Xenopus tropicalis: one gene and its partner. The main gene of each other region encodes a partner of the protein of the gene in region 2 in a complex. Links are inferred from orthologs where the notes say so. Each region holds a gene or a part of one and is shown on either strand. Other genes may lie near its edges.

What was found.
Region 1: mks1 (region 2) and tmem107 share a complex: the UniProt entries of both Homo sapiens proteins name them as parts of the tectonic-like complex. The link is inferred for Xenopus tropicalis from reciprocal best matches to the Homo sapiens genes MKS1 and TMEM107.

What each region holds. Positions count from the first base shown.
Region 1 is NC_030679.2:144,535,647-144,540,147, forward strand, and holds the start of tmem107 (transmembrane protein 107), read right to left. Parts: upstream 3,056-4,501; 5' UTR 2,949-3,055; exon of another isoform or gene 2,932-2,948; intron 1-2,931. UniProt on the Homo sapiens protein: Plays a role in cilia formation and embryonic patterning. Requires for normal Sonic hedgehog (Shh) signaling in the neural tube and acts in combination with GLI2 and GLI3 to pattern ventral and intermediate neuronal cell types.
Region 2 is NC_030678.2:41,734,359-41,738,726, reverse strand, and holds the start of mks1 (Meckel syndrome type 1 protein), read right to left. Parts: upstream 2,872-4,368; 5' UTR 2,739-2,871; coding exon 2,662-2,738; intron 2,581-2,661; coding exon 2,465-2,580; intron 902-2,464; coding exon 834-901; intron 1-833. UniProt on the Homo sapiens protein: Component of the tectonic-like complex, a complex localized at the transition zone of primary cilia and acting as a barrier that prevents diffusion of transmembrane proteins between the cilia and plasma membranes.

The DNA of each region.
Region 1 (4,501 bases), on a different chromosome or scaffold from region 2:
GGCCAGGGACCCTCTCATATAATATATCCAGGCTTCCCTGACTCCTATTACTGTATATACAGGCCGGTAACCCTCTCATATAATATATCCAGGCTTCCCTGACTCCTATTACTGTATATACAGGCCAGGGACCCTCTCATATAATATATACAGGCTTCCCTGACTCCTATTACTGTATATACAGGCCAGGGACCCTCTCATATAATATATACAGGCTTCCCTGACTCCTATTACTGTATATACAGGCCGGTAACCCTCTCATATAATATATACAGGCTTCCCTGACTCCTATTACTGTATATACAGGCCAGGGACCCTCTCATATAATATATCCAGGCTTCCCTGACTCCTATTACTGTATATACAGGCCGGTAACCCTCTCATATAATATATACAGGCTTCCCTGACTCCTATTACTGTAAATACAGGCCAGGGACCCTCTCATATAATATATACAGGCTTCCCTGACCCCTATTACTGTATATACAGGCCGGCAACCCTCTCATATAATATATACAGGCTTCCCTGACTCCTATTACTGTATATACAGGCCAGGGACCCTCTCATATAATATATACAGGCTTCCCTGACTCCTATTACTGTATATACAGGCCGGTAACCCTCTCATATAATATATCCAGGCTTCCCTGACTCCTATTACTGTATATACAGGCCGGCAACCCTCTCTTATAATATATACAGGCTTCCCTGACTCCTATTACTGTATATACAGGCCGGTAACCCTCTCATATAATATATACAGGCTTCCCTGACTCCTATTACTGTATATACAGGCCGGCAACCTTCTCATATAATATATACAGGCTTCCCTGACTCCTATTACTGTATATACAGGCCGGTAACCCTCTCATATAATATATACAGGCTTCCCTGACTCCTATTACTGTATATACAGGCCGGTAACCCTCTCATATAATATATCCAGGCTTCCCTGACTCCTATTACTGTATATACAGGCCGGCAACCCTCTCATATAATATATCCAGGCTTCCCTGACTCCTATTACAGTATATACAGGCCGGCAACCCTCTCATATAATATATACAGGCTTCCCTGACTCCTATTACTGTATATACAGGCGGGTAACCCTCTCATATAATATATACAGGCTTCCCTGACTCCTATTACTGTATATACAGGCCGGCAACCCTCTCATATAATATATCCAGGCTTCCCTGACTCCTATTACTGTATATACAGGCCGGTAACCCTCTCATATAATATATACAGGCTTCCCTGACTCCTATTACTGTATATACATGCCGGCAACCCTCTCATATAATATATACAGGCTTCCCTGACCCCTATTACTGTATATACAGGCCGGCAACCCTCTCATATAATATATACAGGCTTCCCTGACTCCTATTACTGTATATACAGGCCAGGGACCCTCTCATATAATATATACAGGCTTCCCTGACTCCTATTACTGTATATACAGGCCGGTAACCCTCTCATATAATATATACAGGCTTCCCTGACTCCTATTACTGTATATACATGCCGGCAACCCTCTCATATAATATATACAGGCTTCCCTGACCCCTATTACTGTATATACAGGCCGGCAACCCTCTCATATAATATATACAGGCTTCCCTGACTCCTATTACTGTATATACAGGCCAGGGACCCTCTCATATAATATATACAGGCTTCCCTGACTCCTATTACTGTATATACAGGCCGGTAACCCTCTCATATAATATATCCAGGCTTCCCTGACTCCTATTACTGTATATACAGGCCGGCAACCCTCTCATATAATATATACAGGCTTCCCTGACTCCTATTACTGTATATACAGGCCGGTAACCCTCTCATATAATATATACAGGCTTCCCTGACTCCTATTACTGTATATACAGGCCGGCAACCCTCTCATATAATATATACAGGCTTCCCTGACTCCTATTACTGTATATACAGGCCGGTAACCCTCTCATATAATATATACAGGCTTCCCTGACTCCTATTACTGTATATACAGGCCGGTAACCCTCTCATATAATATATACAGGCTTCCCTGACTCCTATTACTGTATATACAGGCCGGTAACCCTCTCATATAATATATCCAGGCTTCCCTGACTCCTATTACTGTATATACAGGCCGGTAACCCTCTCATATAATATATCCAGGCTTCCCTGACTCCTATTACTGTATATACAGGCCGGCAACCCTCTCATATAATATATCCAGGCTTCCCTGACTCCTATTACAGTATATACAGGCCGGCAACCCTCTCATATAATATATACAGGCTTCCCTGACTCCTATTACTGTATATACAGGCGGGTAACCCTCTCATATAATATATACAGGCTTCCCTGACTCCTATTACTGTATATACAGGCCGGCAACCCTCTCATATAATATATACAGGCTTCCCTGACTCCTATTACTGTATATACAGGCCGGTAACCCTCTCATATAATATATACAGGCTTCCCTGACTCCTATTACTGTATATACATGCCGGCAACCCTCTCATATAATATATACAGGCTTCCCTGACCCCTATTACTGTATATACAGGCCGGCAACCCTCTCATATAATATATACAGGCTTCCCTGACTCCTATTACTGTATATACATGCCGGCAACCCTCTCATATAATATATACAGGCTTCCCTGACTCCTATTACTGTATATACATGCCGGCAACCCTCTCATATAATATATACAGGCTTCCCTGACTCCTATTACTGTATATACAGGCCGGCAACCCTCTCATATAATATATACAGGCTTCCCTGACTCCTATTACTGTATATACAGGCCGGCAACCCTCTCATATAATATATACAGACTTTTATAGCTACTTATACTGTATAAATTAACCATTAAATATCTCACATACAAAGTATTCCCCGGGCAGAGACCAGTTAAACCAGTAACTTACTGGAACAAAACCCTTACCCGTTCCAATCTCCGAGCCGAAAACCCGCCGCTTACCGTTGCCTAGCAACCCCTCAGCGTCCTAACCAAAACGCGCAGGATTCAGGAGATTCTGACCATTCACCTACTGAGCCCCGGTCACATGGGGCAGAAGGCAAGTCCGCCATTATTGTAGCTGGAAGTTTTAGCGCTTTGTCGTAAAAGCGACGACACATCCCTGATTATGAAACCTGTCCCAAACTAACATATATATAGATGCAAAGCCTCCACAATGGCGGCTAATCGAAAAGAAGTTACAGTTCGAGCGAAAATATATCAAGCCATAGATGCAGGGGGGAAAATAAAAAGCTGAGTTGGCAGCGGTGGGATTCGAACCCACGCCTCCAGAGAGACTGGAGCCTAAATCCAGCGCCTTAGACCGCTCGGCCACGCTACCTTCTTACTACAGGCCTGATGCACCCTGGGAATATTACTGGGTATAATGACGTCATTATGACTTTACTTCCCACAGTGAGGGAATTAACTGCATGGGAAGTTACACAAGGGATTTATATATCCTCTATACAGGTGGTTTAGGCTCCTGAAACATTGTTTCTTTCCCACCCTCCAGGGGGCGGGGGAAGCAGCACCTCCCTGTGCATACCCCTTGACTATCTGGGCCCACCAGGGTCGGACTGGGCCGCTGGGACACCGGGACAAATCCCGGCGCTCCCCCTGCCCGACCGTTCCTCCCCTGAGGCGTTAAATTTACGGGAGCTCAGGGGAGGACGTCGGGTGGGGGACCCTGTGGGGGGTTGGGGGGGTTAGGGCGGGAGCCCTGGTGTGCCCTGCACCCCCCCCAGTCCGACCCTGGGGCCCACAGATATAGCTATCTTTCACTCCCCAAAATGTGTAGGGCTGTATAACAAACTGCCTAGATCTTCTAATCAGGCATTGGCCCATCTGGAACGCTCTCCAAAGAGTGGCCCCTAAGCCAAATGGATGGAGAGCATACAAGTAAAGGTGGCCATACACGTAGCTGAAGTTCAGGGCTGAATCATCAGATAAGGAGGTAGAAACAATAGAAATTCTACCTCCTTCAGCCCTGAACGTAGATTTTGCTCGGGCGCCTTCAATGGCGCCTTCAACCGATATCCACAGCCTCTGGGATATTGGTCGCCTCTACAAGTCACCATACACGCACCGAATATTGTACGAGATGATAACATCTGTGCGTGTATGGCTGGCTTACGAATGCCTTTCTATTGTTCCGATTACTGATTGATCAGAACAGCAGGAGGGAGAGAGAAGGTGTAGTAAGGTAAACTGATAGATCGATAGAAAGAGATACTGGGGAGAAGCAGATGAAGGTCTCTCAGGGAAGAAGCGTTGGATCAAGGAGATCGTGGGAGAAGCAGATGAAGGTCTCTCTGGGAAGAAGCAGTTGGATCAAGGAGATGGTGGGAAGAAGCAGATGAAGGTCTCTCAGGGAAGAAGCAGTTGGATCAAGGAGATGGTGGGGAGAAGCAGATGAAGGTCTCTCAGGGAAGAAGCAGTTGGATCAAGGAGATGGTAGGAAGAAGGAGATGAAGGTC
Region 2 (4,368 bases):
TTGGCTAATGAGAAATAGCTGCAGAAGTTCTGTAGCCTCCAGTAGCCTACTTCAGCCATAGATTCCCTATTATTGCCTTTAAAAGAGAAAGGTTTAATCGCTAGGGGTACCAAATTGAAGGCACCTCCAGTAATTGTAATCACTTACCCAATACCACAGGCTGGACATCCTGTTAGCAGAAAACTGCACCGGCTGGGGGTACATCTTCAAAATCTGGGGCTGATGCATGCACACTAGAGTGAAAAGTTGAACTTTAACAAAAAGAAATCCGTCATTTTCACTCTACTGTGCATACGGCAGCCCCAGATTTTGAAGAAAGAAGAAGATAAGAAGAGAAACGCTTACTCACATGTACCCCGAGCTGGTGCAGTTTTCTGCTAACAGGAGCACAAGTCTGGGGTATCATGTAAGTGATTACAATCACTCACTAACATTTGGCACCCCTCCCTGATTGAACCTTTCCTTCTCCTTTAATATAATGTTCAACTGTGCATTTAATTGCATATTCTGTAAGTTCTAGAATAGGAACCCCATATTCCTGCTGTTGCATTAACAGAACAAATCACTAAAAAGGCTCCAGACAATAAGGCATTAAATGTACCAGCATCACTTTTCATAAGGGACCAAAATTTGTAACTTTACTTATAAAGCACCAATTAACATATATGAGATATAGATTGCCTTTAAGCAGCTTACCAGCTGTTTTAGTAACCTGCATTAGATGTGCTATTCATATAGGAAAATATATAAAAATAAATTTGAATTCAGTACTAGGCCACTTACAATTATTTGCTATGGGCTAGTGGGAAGAGAAGGCCAACAAAAGAAATTACCTGGCTATAAAGTTTCTCCTGCCAAGAAATCACCACTTCTTCCTTCTCCTCATTAGGATGAGGCCCCCCTTAAAAGACAAGATCATGACAATTAGGACAACAAAAATAATAAAAACAAAAATGCACAAAATTTGTTAATGTACTAAAGGCTTCTACTTTGTATAGTAGTAGAAACAAGATAAAACATAGTTCTTTCAGACAGATCTTGCAATTGGAGAATTCAGTTATAGTTTCAGGCATAAAGCAGAGCAAGCCATTTTTGGCAGGGAAAGAATTATACATAGCCACAGGAATATCGCCAGGATACTTATATCTGAATAGAAGCCTATCTAGGTGCATGTATTCATACTACATGCAATACTCTTCCAGTTCAGGAATGTGAAGCAAAGAGTCACTGAATGTGAGAAATCCTTGCTCGCTGTTGCCCATTTACACATTCTCTTCTCTGCTGCCTACAGACAGTCAACGTACAACTCACCCCACAGATCACCTTGTACCTGACTCTGTGTTCACAGCTCAGCCTACCTTTTCACCCTACAGACAGCTTGCAGCCAGACACAGCTCACCCTACCCTTCATAGAAATCCAGTAAATTATCCAAATGGCACTTAATACAGCAATGTGCAAACGTAGTTTTATTGGCAATCAAGGCAAATGTTTTAGGGCAACTCTCTTCTTCAAGTGCTAAAAAGTAGTGGAAATACCAAAAAGAGCGCCATACATATATTTACTACAATTTTGCTCCATGCACAGTATTTGGTTTTGTCCTGGATTAAATTTGCCCCTACCCCTCACCCTACAGCCAGCCTGCACCCAGGCACAGCTCACCCTACAACCAGCCTGCGCCCAGACACAGCTCACCCTACAGCTAGCCTGCGCCCAGGCACAGATCACCCTACAGCCAGCCTGCGCCCAGGAAAAGCTCACCCTACAGCCAGCCTGCGCCCAGGCACAGCTCACCCTACAGCCAGCCTGCGCCCAGGCACAGCTCACCCTACAGCCAGCCTGCGCCCAGGCACAGCTCACCCTACAGCCAGCCTGCGCCCAGGCACAGCTCACCCTACAGCCAGCCTGCGCCCAGGCACAGCTCACCCTACAGCCAGCCTGCGCCCAGGCACAGCTCACCCTACAGCCAGCCTGCGCCCAGGCACAGCTCACCCTACAGCCAGCCTGCGCCCAGGCACAGCTCACCCTACAGCCAGCCTGCGCCCAGGCACAGCTCACCCTACAGCCAGCCTGCGCCCAGGCACAGCTCACCCTACAGCCAGCCTGCGCCCAGGCACAGCTCACCCTACAGCCAGCCTGCGCCCAGGCACAGCTCACCCTACAGCCAGCCTGCGCCCAGGCACAGCTCACCCTACAGCCAGCCTGCGCCCAGGCACAGCTCACCCTACAGCCAGCCTGCGCCCAGGCACAGCTCACCCTACAGCCAGCCTGCGCCCAGGCACAGCTCACCCTACAGCCAGCCTGCGCCCAGGCACAGCTCACCCTACAGCCAGCCTGCGCCCAGGCACAGCTCACCCTACAGCCAGCCTGCGCCCAGGCACAGCTCACCCTACAGCCAGCCTGCGCCCAGGCACCATGCAGCCTTAAAAATGAAAGGGAAACACACAATATGGCCGGATCACTCACTGTTCGCCTCTGGGTTGTTGTGCAGCGCCTGTAGTTCGAGTCCTCCTCTATTTGCATCCTCCTCCTGCACCCGCTGTACCAGAGCAATGGCCGGGGTAACCCGCTGCAGAGTCACTCTGAAGACAAATAAGACACTGAGTAACTAGCGCTCCACATGCGAGTAGGGCTGCGAACAACAATAACCCCTTGACACTCACCGAATCCTCAGATTCTTTATGGGGTCCCGGGATCTGTACACTGCCTCCCCAACATCCTGATTCCAGTCTTCCGCCATATTTCAGAAAAGCGCGTCGCAATTGCCTAGGCAACCGAATCGGCAACTCTAATTGGCCACCACGTAACGCGTAGCAGCCGAGATTTAGCGGCGCACTGTAACCTACCGCTGATATCCGTGCGTCATGTCACTGCGCGACTGAGGCTACAAATAGCAAGCGCGATGTGCGTCTAATAGTTTGGGAGCCATAACAGTCCATGTGTCTTGCAAATCTTTTAATATGCGTTAAAATACCTCCAATAATCCAGCTCCTTAAATCAGACAGGTGAATTAGATATCGCCAGTCTGATCTCGCGAGAATGTGACGTCACACCACACAGCTATATATACAGCGTACCTCGGTTATTTCACTACGTGATGCAGTTAAAAACATGGGCTTGCTGTTCGCGGCTTTTATTTTATGTTATATTTATTAATTTTTACTACTAGTCATTTTTCCCGCTCGCACTTTTAATACTTTTGCTGAGGTTACTCTGCTCCTGATATTTAGCCAATAGTGCAGGTCGCTGTATGTGAGGATTCGGGCCATGCTCTTCTCAGTTCAGGGACTTATTTAGCAAATAAAATGGGTGATACGTACCAGCCCTAATCTTTTAGGCTTTTTTTCATGTTGGTATCACAGTAATTGTTAACTCTGGTCTAAGGTTATGTTTTTTGGAAAGTCACGTTTATGTGAAAATTGAGACCATGTTTTTGACAATCTAGGGCTAAAAAGAGTCATTTTTGAGAATAGAATGGGTGAATTACGTGGACAGCATTGGTGTCTGAGGGGCCTAGTGTTTTTGTGAAGACAGACCATATTTTTTAGTTTGGAGACAGAACCAAGGGCTAATTTAGTAAGACTATGGGTCAATTTGACCAAATGGTCAAAGGTTTAGGGTTTATTTTTTTGGTGGTATAAGAGGATCCCAATGTTTGATGTGCAAATTAGGGAAATAATTTTCACAAATTTGTGCCTAAAAGGTTTAGTTATGAGAATATAATGGGTAAAATATATATTTTAGGCTCTTTTTATCAGAGGGTGTCTGGTTTTGTGTAAATAAGGGCTGGATTTCGGTAAAAGGGTGAAATTAACCAAAATAAATAATTTACATTCACTCTGGTCGTAACTTAAAAGTGTGCAGGTTTCCTGTCAGTTCTGCCGCAGAAGGTTCTGGGCCCCAAAAGGGTATTGGTAAGGAGCAGTGCTGGCAGGGGGTTTTCCTGTTTCATGGGGGAGATAAAGAATATATTGGTGAAATATACCATCAGTAATCTGTAGTTGTTAGGCTTTTTTCACAGTGGCATCAGAGGGTCCCAGTATATTTTTAGGTATGGCTACTAGCTTTTTCACAATTTATGAACAGACCAATGGCTAATTTAGGACAAGAAAATGGGTAAACTTGACCAAAACCAATTGAGAGTTTATAGGCTTTTTTTAATCTTTTTTATTTTGGTACTAGAGGATTCCAGTGTTTTAGGTGACAATTTATGGACAAAAAGGGCTAATATAGGAGAAGGTTGTAGTGAGTGACCATCAGAGGGTTCTGATGCTTTTCATGCAAAAGAGGGCGGGAAAAATGAAGTGATCCTTATGTTTTTATTCTGGCAACAGACGACTCTTTATATCAGGGGTGGGCAAACTACGGGC